Linked DNA regions of Ovis aries. The protein of the gene in region 2 purifies or fractionates together with the protein of the main gene of each other region. This does not show direct contact. Links are inferred from orthologs where the notes say so. Each region holds a gene or a part of one and is shown on either strand. Other genes may lie near its edges.

Region 1 (4,933 bases), on a different chromosome or scaffold from region 2:
ATTCCCACAGCTCAGCTGGTCCAGAGAGTAGCTTCTGTGATGCAGGAATACACCCAGTCAGGGTAAGCTGATTTTATTATTTGAAATGTGTCATGAATTAGGGGGGGAAAAAAATCATCTTACCTTTGTAAAAGTAGACATATTTCAGAAAAAAAAAAAAGAGGACTTAGTATTCCTGTATTTCCTTAATCAGTGAAGAAAACCACTATGAATGAATAGTTCTGATCTTAACTGGACCTGAAATATTTTCTTAAAGAGAAAGCAGAAATGTTTTCTTGCTGTTGATGTAACAGCAGAAAGCAGCTTCTAGATAAAGTCCTTTTGACAGTGATTAAAACATTTCTTTATGGGCAGGCAGTCATTGCTGCTTCCACATTTATCTTCTAGCTGGAAATGATTGTAAGCACTTGATGAAAGTAGTAACTGACACATCTGTATTCATTTTAATTCCAGTGTTCTTGAGTTTGGTTGTGAAAATGATGAGGTAATTACTGAAATGTAAAACCAGTGGAAAAGCTGCATTTGCTGAAATCTGCTATTTTATTAGGACATGAAGTGTTACCCACATTTATTAACCCCAATATTTGTATCAGTCTATTTACCAAAATGATCTGACTATTGTTCCTCAGTACCATAAAGAAAATTCATTTTGAATTGATTTGTTTAGAAAGGTGTTAAATGCTGTTTAAGGAACTCAGAAGTCTAATTCGGTGACCTGATAACTCGCTTTACTTGAGAGTATTAATAACTTCTTACATTAAGTTGACCTTAACACCATGAAGGTGCCGATTAATTTTCATTTCTCTTTGTTCAGTGGTGTTCGCCCATTTGGAGTTTCTTTACTTATCTGTGGTTGGAATGAGGGACGGCCATATTTATTTCAGTCAGATCCATCTGTAAGTACCATTAGATGTATTTGAGGAGTTTGTTAAAGTGCTCTTTGAGTACCTAATAGAAATAGAAGCCATAAAAACCTTACAAATTAGAGTATTTTCTCTTCCATTTGGGCTTTAGAAGTAATACATGTTCACTTGTACATTTAAAATGTTGATAACTTCATCTTCTGATAAGGAACCTCCTTTAGTTCTGCCCTCTGTTCTTCTGGCATGCTGATTAACTTCACATACTTAGAATGATTTGTTGAAGTAGTTGTTATCAAATCTCTGTAAATCTGTGGAATTCTTTTTAAAATTATGATTAAAGCTGATTTTAATTCTAAGTTCAGTTAAAACCTTTCTGGGAGTGGGCAGTGCCCTTTGCCATTAGTTTAATCTTGGGGTTGACTTGAAGTGACTCTTCTGCAGAAATATTGATGTTACTGTCATGACTGATGTTTTGCAAAATGAGTGAGTCGTCTGCTATAAAGCAGAAGATTGGTGTCTGGGTTGGCAGGTGTCTGGAGAAGCACCACTCCTCCACGTGTGTCTCACGTCTGTCACTCATGTTTACTGTGAGGAGACCCAGAAAAAAAGATTCACTATTAGAAACTGACCTTTCATAGTTTATAGATCATTAGGTAATGTCAGGTTTACTCGATGCACATCTTATACTCTAGCTTTGTAATTTGAAAAAGCAAAAATATTTAGGTTGTTAATTAAATCAGAAAAATTAAGTATTTGAGGAACTTTGACAGTGTCTGTTATCCCATATCTGAGCTTCTGAAGCTAAATGCCAAGTCCTCTTATCTTCTTTTCCTGAGAGTAGCAGAGCCGCCATCATGGGAATCCAGCTTTCATCTTTTGCCCTTTCCCCCTGTTATAGCTAAAAGTCACTTGTTTTCTTTTAAAATATGGTCTGTTGCTTTCAGTTTCTGTACATGTGTGCATATGTACTTTTTCAGTAGATGAGTCATATATGATGTGGTAGCTGTTTTTGTGTAACTTTAGATTACAAAAATCAACACCTTTGAAAATTTTTAGTGCAAAGCTGTGTCTTTTTAGTTTGTTCACCAATGGTCACCATTTTTCAGATAGATATGATTTTTAGAGCCTTTCAATCGTAGTAAGCTAAAATATTACTTTTGATTATTTGCTCTAAATTAACCTCGTTTCTTTTTTTCACATAAATTTTGTACAGTAAATTATACGTATTTGATGGGGTTTTGATGTATTAAATACCTGAGAAAATCATCAACACAATCAAGATGCTGTACCTCCAAAAGTTCTTCATGCCTCTTTGTTATCACATTGATTTATTTTGTGACATAGCTCATTGCATTCCAATAAATATTCTGAAACTCTTAGAGACAAATTATGGAACTGAGAAATAAATGTCAGAGTCATAAATAATTATATTAATGATTTAAAATGTGTGTTTTTGTTTTTGTTTCCTCTTCCTCTCCTGATTAGGGAGCTTACTTTGCCTGGAAAGCCACAGCAATGGGAAAGAACTATGTGAATGGGAAGACTTTCCTTGAGAAAAGGTAGATTTATAAAACTAGATTCATTACCACACTTACTCTACAGTCTTCAGCTCTCTGTAAATAATTTCATTAATTTATAAACAAATTTGTAGCATGACTGTAGTCAAGCCTAGCTACTGATAGAACAAACTTACTTGTCTGTACTTGGGCTCCTCAGCCTTCAACATATTAAGTGGTAGTATTCATTTCTTAAGGACTTCTCTTTCTACATTCTCATGTTTTCCTAAATGTTTTTTTTATTTTTTTTACTTCATTTTTTTCTACCATCTCAAAAAAAAAGAGACCATTGGATTTGGAGTAAAAAATTTGGGAAGAAAGTTTTTAAATGGTTTAAGTGATAACAGTTTGTATGTGTGCTCAGTCACTCAGTCATGACTGGTTCTTTGAGGACACGCCAGGCTCCTCTATCATTTTCATTTTGACAATTTCCAAAAAATATATATATATGGTGAACGCAAGTACCTGGTGTTGATGGTAGATTAAAGATGTGACATACGGGGCTTCCCTGGTGGTCTGGTGGTTAAGAATCCTTCTGCCAATGCAGGGGACACAAGTTTGATCCCTGGTCTGGGAGGATCCCACATGCTGCAAAGCAACTAAGCCCATGGGCTACAACTAGAGCCTGTGCTCCTCAATAGGAGAGTAGCACCTGCTCACCTCAACTAGAGAAAGCCCGCACATGGCTACGAAGACCCAGTGCAGCCAAATAGAAATTAAAAAACAAAAAAAGACGTGATGTATGTACTTGATAAAAAGTGGAATGATACATAAAAATCTGCCCCTGCCCAGCACAGCAGACTGCCCTCACTTAATTCCAGCTGTATTCTAGACTCGGCATTATTGTAGCCCACCAAAAAGTGTCCTATGTTTTGGATGGGAGGAGTCTGCAATTGATTTTAACCACCAAATGAACCTTTTCAGTACATTCTCAGATAATATTAATGCTAAGATTACTTAAAAATCTTAGACCTGGGATTACTTGGTAAGCTTAAATAATCTTAGGATCTTAAAGCACTTTATTTTTCATCTTACGTATTATTGGTGAGTCTTCCAAACGTTATGAAATTTTACTAGAGGTTTGATTTCTCCGCTTTATTTTTATAAATTGTTATAATATTGCCACCACATGCTGATCATATTAAAATACTTAAGGAAATTTCTTAAGTAAACTCGTGTTAGGGTTACACTCTTCATGATGTCAGGAATGCACCCTAAATAATTGTCAGTTTCTTATTTTGGGGACAGCTCAGTGAGGAGACTAGGAGAATTAATCTGTAACTTTTTATATTTTTAAGAATGTCTTATTAGATGTTTTAAAATCTTATGCTGTTGCTATCATTGTGTTTTCTTAGTCATGAATCATCTTAATAGTGCCATAAGTCATTGTTTTTCTTTAAAAAAAAATTCTTTAGATATAATGAAGATCTGGAACTTGAAGATGCCATTCATACAGCCATATTAACCCTAAAGGTTAGTTCAATATCTACTGATTGGATTTGTAGTGATTTTATAATTAACTGTTGAGAAAATTGACCTTTTCCCCTCCTTCATCAGGAAAGCTTTGAAGGGCAGATGACAGAAGATAATATTGAAGTTGGAATCTGCAACGAAGCCGGATTTAGGAGGCTTACCCCAACTGAAGTTAAGGATTATTTGGCTGCCATTGCATAATAATGCAAATAATGAAGTGACTGAAAATCCAGAATTTCAGATAACTTCTCTACTTAAACATGTTTAAAGTATGTTTTGTTTTGCAGACTTTTTGCATACTTATTTCTACATGGTTTGATGGACTGATGTTTTTAAAATGAGACTTATAAATCATAATAAACTCTTAAATTAACTTCCAGCTTTTTAGGAGTTAGTAAACTTTTAACATAGTTATATTTCCTGCTTTCCATCACAGTTGATTTCTGGAAACTACATTGAAAAGCAGAATGGTGAAATTGGTCTTTAATCTTCACACAGTTTGGATTAAGTCAAACTTTGTCATCTTCTTTACTGTCAGATGTTTTCTGCTTTAGGAAAGCAAAATCCTGATTTCAGTAAACACTGCTTTTGGAGCTGAGAGAATCTGTAGACTTTCATGGATTCTGAGGCAAGGTAGGAAGCATAGCTGTATTTCGGGCACCATTAGGTGTGGATCAGTGAAACCTAGGATGTTCTATGAGATTGCTCTGGAGCTGCCGAGAGTGCTAAGCCACAGTCTCCTATAGGAGATGTACCATGTAGATACATAAAAAACGGTGTGCTAGTTCCTGTTGACTTTTCCATCACTAGTACGTAAATGTATTTCAAAAGAGCCCCCTAGAGTCTACTAGATCTTTCTAACTCAAGGATGAACGTGAGTGCTGGAAATAAAATACTAATACTTAAATGTCAAAATTACGGCTTAAGTCTCTCCCTCATTCATGAAACCTCTGTAATCAGAACCTTCACTGCACTTTAAGACTTCCAACAGCAAGCTAATCATGGAATATCAGAACCCTGTTTCCATTATATGTGAAGGCA
Region 2 (5,659 bases):
AGGCTAGAGCTGGAAGCTCAGGAACCAGGGAAGTGGGCAGGCTGAGATGACGTCCATGACGCCTCACTTCTGCAGCAGCAGCAGCACTCCTGCTTTCCACCAGAGCTTCATGCACATCTTGTTTTGTTGGTAAGATCCTGTTTCCTAGCACCTTGCTCATGTGATATAACATCACCTGTCACGTATTCTGGTCAAAAATATTTAGCTTCTAAATAATCAAGGCTTTAAGACTAAGTCCAGTTTCAGAAAATACAGAGGCCAGAGGAACACAGTGGTTGGTCTGTACGCTGCGAGCCCTGACTAACCCCAACTGACAGCACAGCAGGGAACTGTGGAGATGGGTGGCGTGGGAAGGGCCTAGGCCTCCTGCAGTCAAGTGACTTGCCTCTCTGAGCCGGGTCAGTGTGCATTACGATGAATGCTACCACTGTGTGACAGATGACTTCAGCCTGCATGGGGCGCTGCACATTAAACACATAGGCCTGAGCCCAGTGTTAGCAATGCTTACACGTGCCAGGAGGACAGAAAGTAAAACTGAGGATAAGAGGGGGAAACCCCATGTTAAAAATCATTCTATCCAAGGGTACAAATACAAGCACATCTCTTGAGGGGGCTGTAATCCAGGGTGTGTGCAGGAGAGGAGGGCACCGCTGTGGATTCTAAAGAGCCACTCCAGGTACCAACGGACACCCAGGGAGAGTCTGGCTGTGACTTGACACAAATCTGCCTTGTGGAAGGATATAACACACCTTCAGCATTTATACTGAGCTCCGCTGAATTCTCTTCTGCAGTTGCATATGGATTGTTTCCAACCATTGGCACAAGACAGTCAGTATAGAAGTAACCGATCTTATGCATATTCAGTGTGGAAATAATCAGATCTATTGCAAGCTGGCCAACATTTCCAACAGATACTGCTGGCTGAAACAGTAAAAAAAAAAAAAGTTCATTAAGTTATCCAAATCAGCAGCACTTTAAGAAGTTTAGACAGAAGACGACAGTCACAGTGGACGTACTGGACGCCAATGCTCAGGTGCATCACACCTGGGTTCTGAGCTTTTCATTAGCTCCACCTGGAGACTACTGACTGCATACTTACTGAATACCTGCTATGTGTCAACCCCTGTTCTGGGCACTGAGGATGCAGTAAACAAATGGATCAGAGTTCCTGCCCTTGTGGAGTTCCATCTAGTGAGGGGGTGGTTTGCTGGGGCAAACAAAATAGATAGTAAAATACATAGCAGTAAGTACTATAGAAAACATTTAAGTCAGTAAGGGTGTGTGTGTTTATGGGTGACTGCAAGTTCAAAAGGGGTGGTCAAGGAAACAGTCACTTCAGGTGGCCAAGTAACTACAGCCCTGAAAGGTAAGGGAGACAGTCACACCAAGACTTGGGATATGATGAGGTCAGGCAGTGGTAAAGCAGGTGCGGAGGCTGTGAGGTATGAACAACAGAGTTCGTGGGTCTTCTTTCCATTTGGTTCGTTAGTGCCTAAAGATTGGAGGGAGCTTCTTTTCATGCTGCGCACACACACACACACACACACACACACACACTCGCTCACTCTCTTTCTCTCTCTCTCACACACATACTCTCTCTTTCATGACTTCAAATAGCCAACTACCACATCTCTACCTACACCCCAAACACTCACCTGAACTCCAAAGCCTAATGGCTATCTCCACACAGTTATGTTAAAACCAGCAGGTACAAAACAAAGCATCTGCCCAACCTGCTCCCTACTTTGCACTTCAGAAAACAGCAACAATTACTCACCCAGTTACCTAAACCAGGGACCTGCTTCCCTTCCCCTCAGCAGCCACAGCAGGACAGGACTAATTTTCATTGATCCTGTCTCCAAAGTTTCTCTTCACTATACCTCCTCCTCTGCACTCTTCTAGCAACTGCTCGTTTTTGGCCTCTATGGGTCCTTCAGAGCAGCCTCCCACTTTGGGCCCTCCCGTACCAATCCCCTGGTTACCTCCTTTAATTCCCTTTCCCTTTTTTGCTACTTTGGTTAGACCCTCACTCTCCGGTATCGTTCGTTTCTTCCTCACTACTGGATTCTCCCATCAGCATATTCACACCCTCTAAAATCTTTCCTTCTGAAAAACTCGCTGTCACTTCTCAGTGTCCCTCCAGAGCCCAAATTCCTTACAGTCTGTCCACTAAGACACAAGCAGGAACTTTATCTCTGAATTCAGGAACAAAAGCACAAACATACAGATCTCCACATCATCTCCCATTTCTTCAATCCAATATGGCTTCCCTCTTCACCATCAAGGGTACTGCTAGTAACCTGTGGACACTATTTTCTCTATGACGTTTTCTTTCTGCCAGGTATCTCCTGCAAAAATACTTTTTCCCTTTTGTGATTAACGAATATTTTTCAGAGAGACACTTTGAAATGAAGTCAAATTTTCTTCCTCAGTACACTATCAAAGCTGCTTCTATCATTCACTGATACTTTTTTTTTGCTCTGAGCCGCACCACAAGCAGGACCTTAGTTCCTCGACAAGGGATCAAACCCATGCCCCTTGTAGTGGAAGCGCAGAGTACTAGTTACTGGACCAGGAGGGAAGTCCCCACTGACATTTCTTGCTTTCATTATGAAAACTGTCGAAAAGTGACTTTTCTATTACCATCGTCCTTTTAAAAACGGATACATATATGTTAGTTTCAGGTGCACAACATTGTGATTGAACGTCTGTACACATTGCAATATGATTACCTCAACAGGTCTACTTAACGATCATCACCACTCAGTCAAAAAATTATTTTTTCTTGTGATGAGAATTTTAAGATCTACTCTGTTACTTTCAAACATACAACACAGTGTTAACTATAGTTACTACGTTGCAAATTACATTCCAGGACTTATTTTTGACTAAAAGTTTGTACTTTTGACCCCTTTCATCCAATCTGTTCTATGTGTTTTTTTTAATTCCACATACGAAGCTTTTCTTAACAGATCTTTGTATCCCTCCCCTTCCCAATAAATCCCCGGGTCTTTCTGTACCCCTTTCAACGTTCTAACTTTATTTATTTACGTGTGTTCCCAACTAGACTGCGAACTCCTTGAGACACAGAACCTGGTTTTACCGTTACACACTGACACAACACAACGCTCACTGAAGCAATGAATGAACCGCGATAGAATCGCGTGCTGTCGCCAAGTCTTTACCAGCCCGTCTGCAGTTTCCTGACTAACGACAATCACTCCCCAGCTTAAGCGCGATACAGAGCTCGCGGAGAAAAGATTTTCCAAGAAGGTACAGCGAGTGGCCCACACGGCACCAACGGAGCGCAAGGTCACGTCCCCGCACATTTCGCTCACAGCCACCAGGACCCGGCCCCACAGACTCGCGCGCGTCCGGGGGCCGCTCTGACGCCAGACCCCTGCCCCGACTCACCATTAGGAGGGTGCACCCCGCGAGGTCGGGGACCGAGTCCCCGGAGGGTACGAACATGGTTTCGCCGGCGGCACAAGGAGCCGGCGGCCGGAAGTGCGGGCGACTCCTGGGGTCCTTCGAGGCCCCGGTCGCGGGGTCCTTAGGTGCCCGTCCCACTGCCTGCCGGGGCGGCGCGCGGGAGGGGCTGCGGGCGGGGGTGGCGGCCGGGGCGGCGCGCGGGAACAGGCTGGCGGTCAAGGCGCGGAGTCTGCGGGCGGAGACGAGCCGGGGCGCCGGCCGAGGTGACTGACAGGCGGCGCGGGGACAGCCTCGCCGCCGTTTGGAAACAGCAGTTGGAGCCGCCCGGTTCCCCCGCCGGCCTGACGCGGCCGCCCCCGGAGCGCGCGAGGCGAGCGGTCGCGGGCTCTGGCTCCGCCGCGGAGACGCTGCGGCCGCCGGCGTGCCCGACGGGGAGGCCAGCATGTCGCTGCCGCCGGAAAAGGCGTCCGAGCTGAAGCAGCTCATCCACCAGCAGCTGAGCAAGGTGAGGCGGTGAGGCGGTGAGGCGGCGGGCGGGCGGGGGCTGGGCCAGCGGGCACCGCGGATACGCGGGGAGAGGGCTGAGGGGCCGGAGGCCGTCACTTCATGGGAGGCGGCACGGAGGGGCTGTCGGTCCTCGGGGTCAGCCGGGGCTCCAGCCGCCGCCCCGTGCCGAGTGTTAGCGTCTCCCTGCCCCGCGGCGGTCCTGACCCCCGCCGCCTCCCCCAGACGCGTAAAGGGTCACTCCGTTAACCCTCGGCCACAACTAAAAGGTTGAGAGAGTTTACTTTTGGCCTTTGGTCGCTCCTCCGCTGCTCTGCTCTAGTCTCAAAAGACTGGTTTCAGTCGGGTGTTATTTGTGGGGAAGTGCTAGCAAATGTAATAGATAAGCTTAGAGCTTATTTTTAGAGTTAAAAATATTTATCCTTAAAGTTTTTTTCCTTTAAAAAACCTTACCTTTATTCTCAGTGAATTTCGGTAACAATCTCACACTGTTACTTGAGAAACCTTCCTGAGTTTAACTACTCTCTCATTATTATTATTTTGTGGTCAATATTTTGCAAAGATGTTAGCTAGTTGGCTATCTTTGACTGCTCTATGACGTTTTAAGTCCTAATGCGAGTTTTCTACCTAGATGGATGTCCATGGCAGGATAAGAGAAATCCTTGCTGAGACGATTCGGGAAGAATTGGCACCTGATCAACAACAGCTATCAACCGAAGATTTGATCAAAGCCCTTAAACGCCGGGGAATCATTGATGATGTGATGAAAGAACTTAATTTTGTTACTGTGAGTAATCTCTTAGAGCAAGACATTTGAGAGTCTTAAGTACATTCTCATGTTTAATACCACTCTTAGGGTCCAATTTGGGGCCTCTCTTTAGTGAAACTACTTTTTAAATAAGACCATTTTGTCTAGTAATATCTGTGTCTCAGGAATGAGCTACTTCACCCTTGAGTGGAGCGGGTAGGATTATGTATCAGTGAAACTGAAATTATGGACCTAATTATTCCCTTTACAGTGAGAGTTTTCTCTTATACTCTAGGTCTGAAACTTTAAGTGTGTATATTAGTCAAATTAGTTCACTCCAAGTGTATTTTTTCTAAATTAATATCCTGAAATCTTTCTACACAAAGCTTATTATTGAAGTAAACACATTGTTTGGTGCTGTGTTCTCTAAGATGAACAGATTGTTTCTTTAAGAAATTAATTGTCTGCATAAGAACTTTCAACTCTTTTCATATAAATAGGTCAGTAGTGAGGTGATGCCTCTCTGCACAAATTAGTAAGTAGGTCTTTTGAAAGTGAGGCAATAATGAGAGACTGTGACCTCAATACCTGGGTAACATAATGTGGAAATTGGATGGGCTTCATAATACACCAGAGAATAAGTATTTTAGTCCAGCGTCCTTTTTTGGTTTTTGAGGTTTATAAACTCATTTGTTATAAAAACTGACCTAGTAATAGCTTCTGCTGTGTGAATGTCACTTCCTTATTATAATCAGTTCTGTTCCTGGTGGAACCACAAGCCAGATGTCATATGAGGTTTGGAGAAAGTTTAACCTTCTGTAAAGTGTTAAAAATTTATTTTAGCATTCTGTGGACATGGCTTGAAGATCATGAATTCCTTCATGCTAGACTTTAGGAATGACTAATTAGCTGCATTATTGTTTCAGCAGACTTTTCATTATTCTGACTCTGCTAGGAAAGTTAGGGCATTTTGAG

Evidence for each region. The genes of interacting proteins can lie anywhere in the genome.
Region 1: the proteins of PSMG2 (region 2) and PSMA2 purify together in Homo sapiens (affinity purification with mass spectrometry; 4 studies listed by BioGRID and IntAct, with this or other methods). This does not show direct contact. The link is inferred for Ovis aries from reciprocal best matches to the Homo sapiens genes PSMG2 and PSMA2.

What each region holds. Positions count from the first base shown.
Region 1 is NC_056057.1:79,798,345-79,803,277, forward strand, and holds part of PSMA2 (proteasome subunit alpha type-2), read left to right. Parts: coding exon 1-62; intron 63-814; coding exon 815-896; intron 897-2,348; coding exon 2,349-2,422; intron 2,423-3,834; coding exon 3,835-3,892; intron 3,893-3,976; coding exon 3,977-4,093; 3' UTR 4,094-4,933.
Region 2 is NC_056076.1:43,562,532-43,568,190, reverse strand, and holds the start of PSMG2 (proteasome assembly chaperone 2), read right to left. Parts: upstream 3,494-5,659; 5' UTR 3,472-3,493; coding exon 3,415-3,471; intron 922-3,414; coding exon 750-921; intron 1-749. Other genes in the region: CEP76 (centrosomal protein of 76 kDa), read left to right, coding at 3,875-3,937, 4,568-4,723. UniProt on the Homo sapiens protein: Chaperone protein which promotes assembly of the 20S proteasome as part of a heterodimer with PSMG1.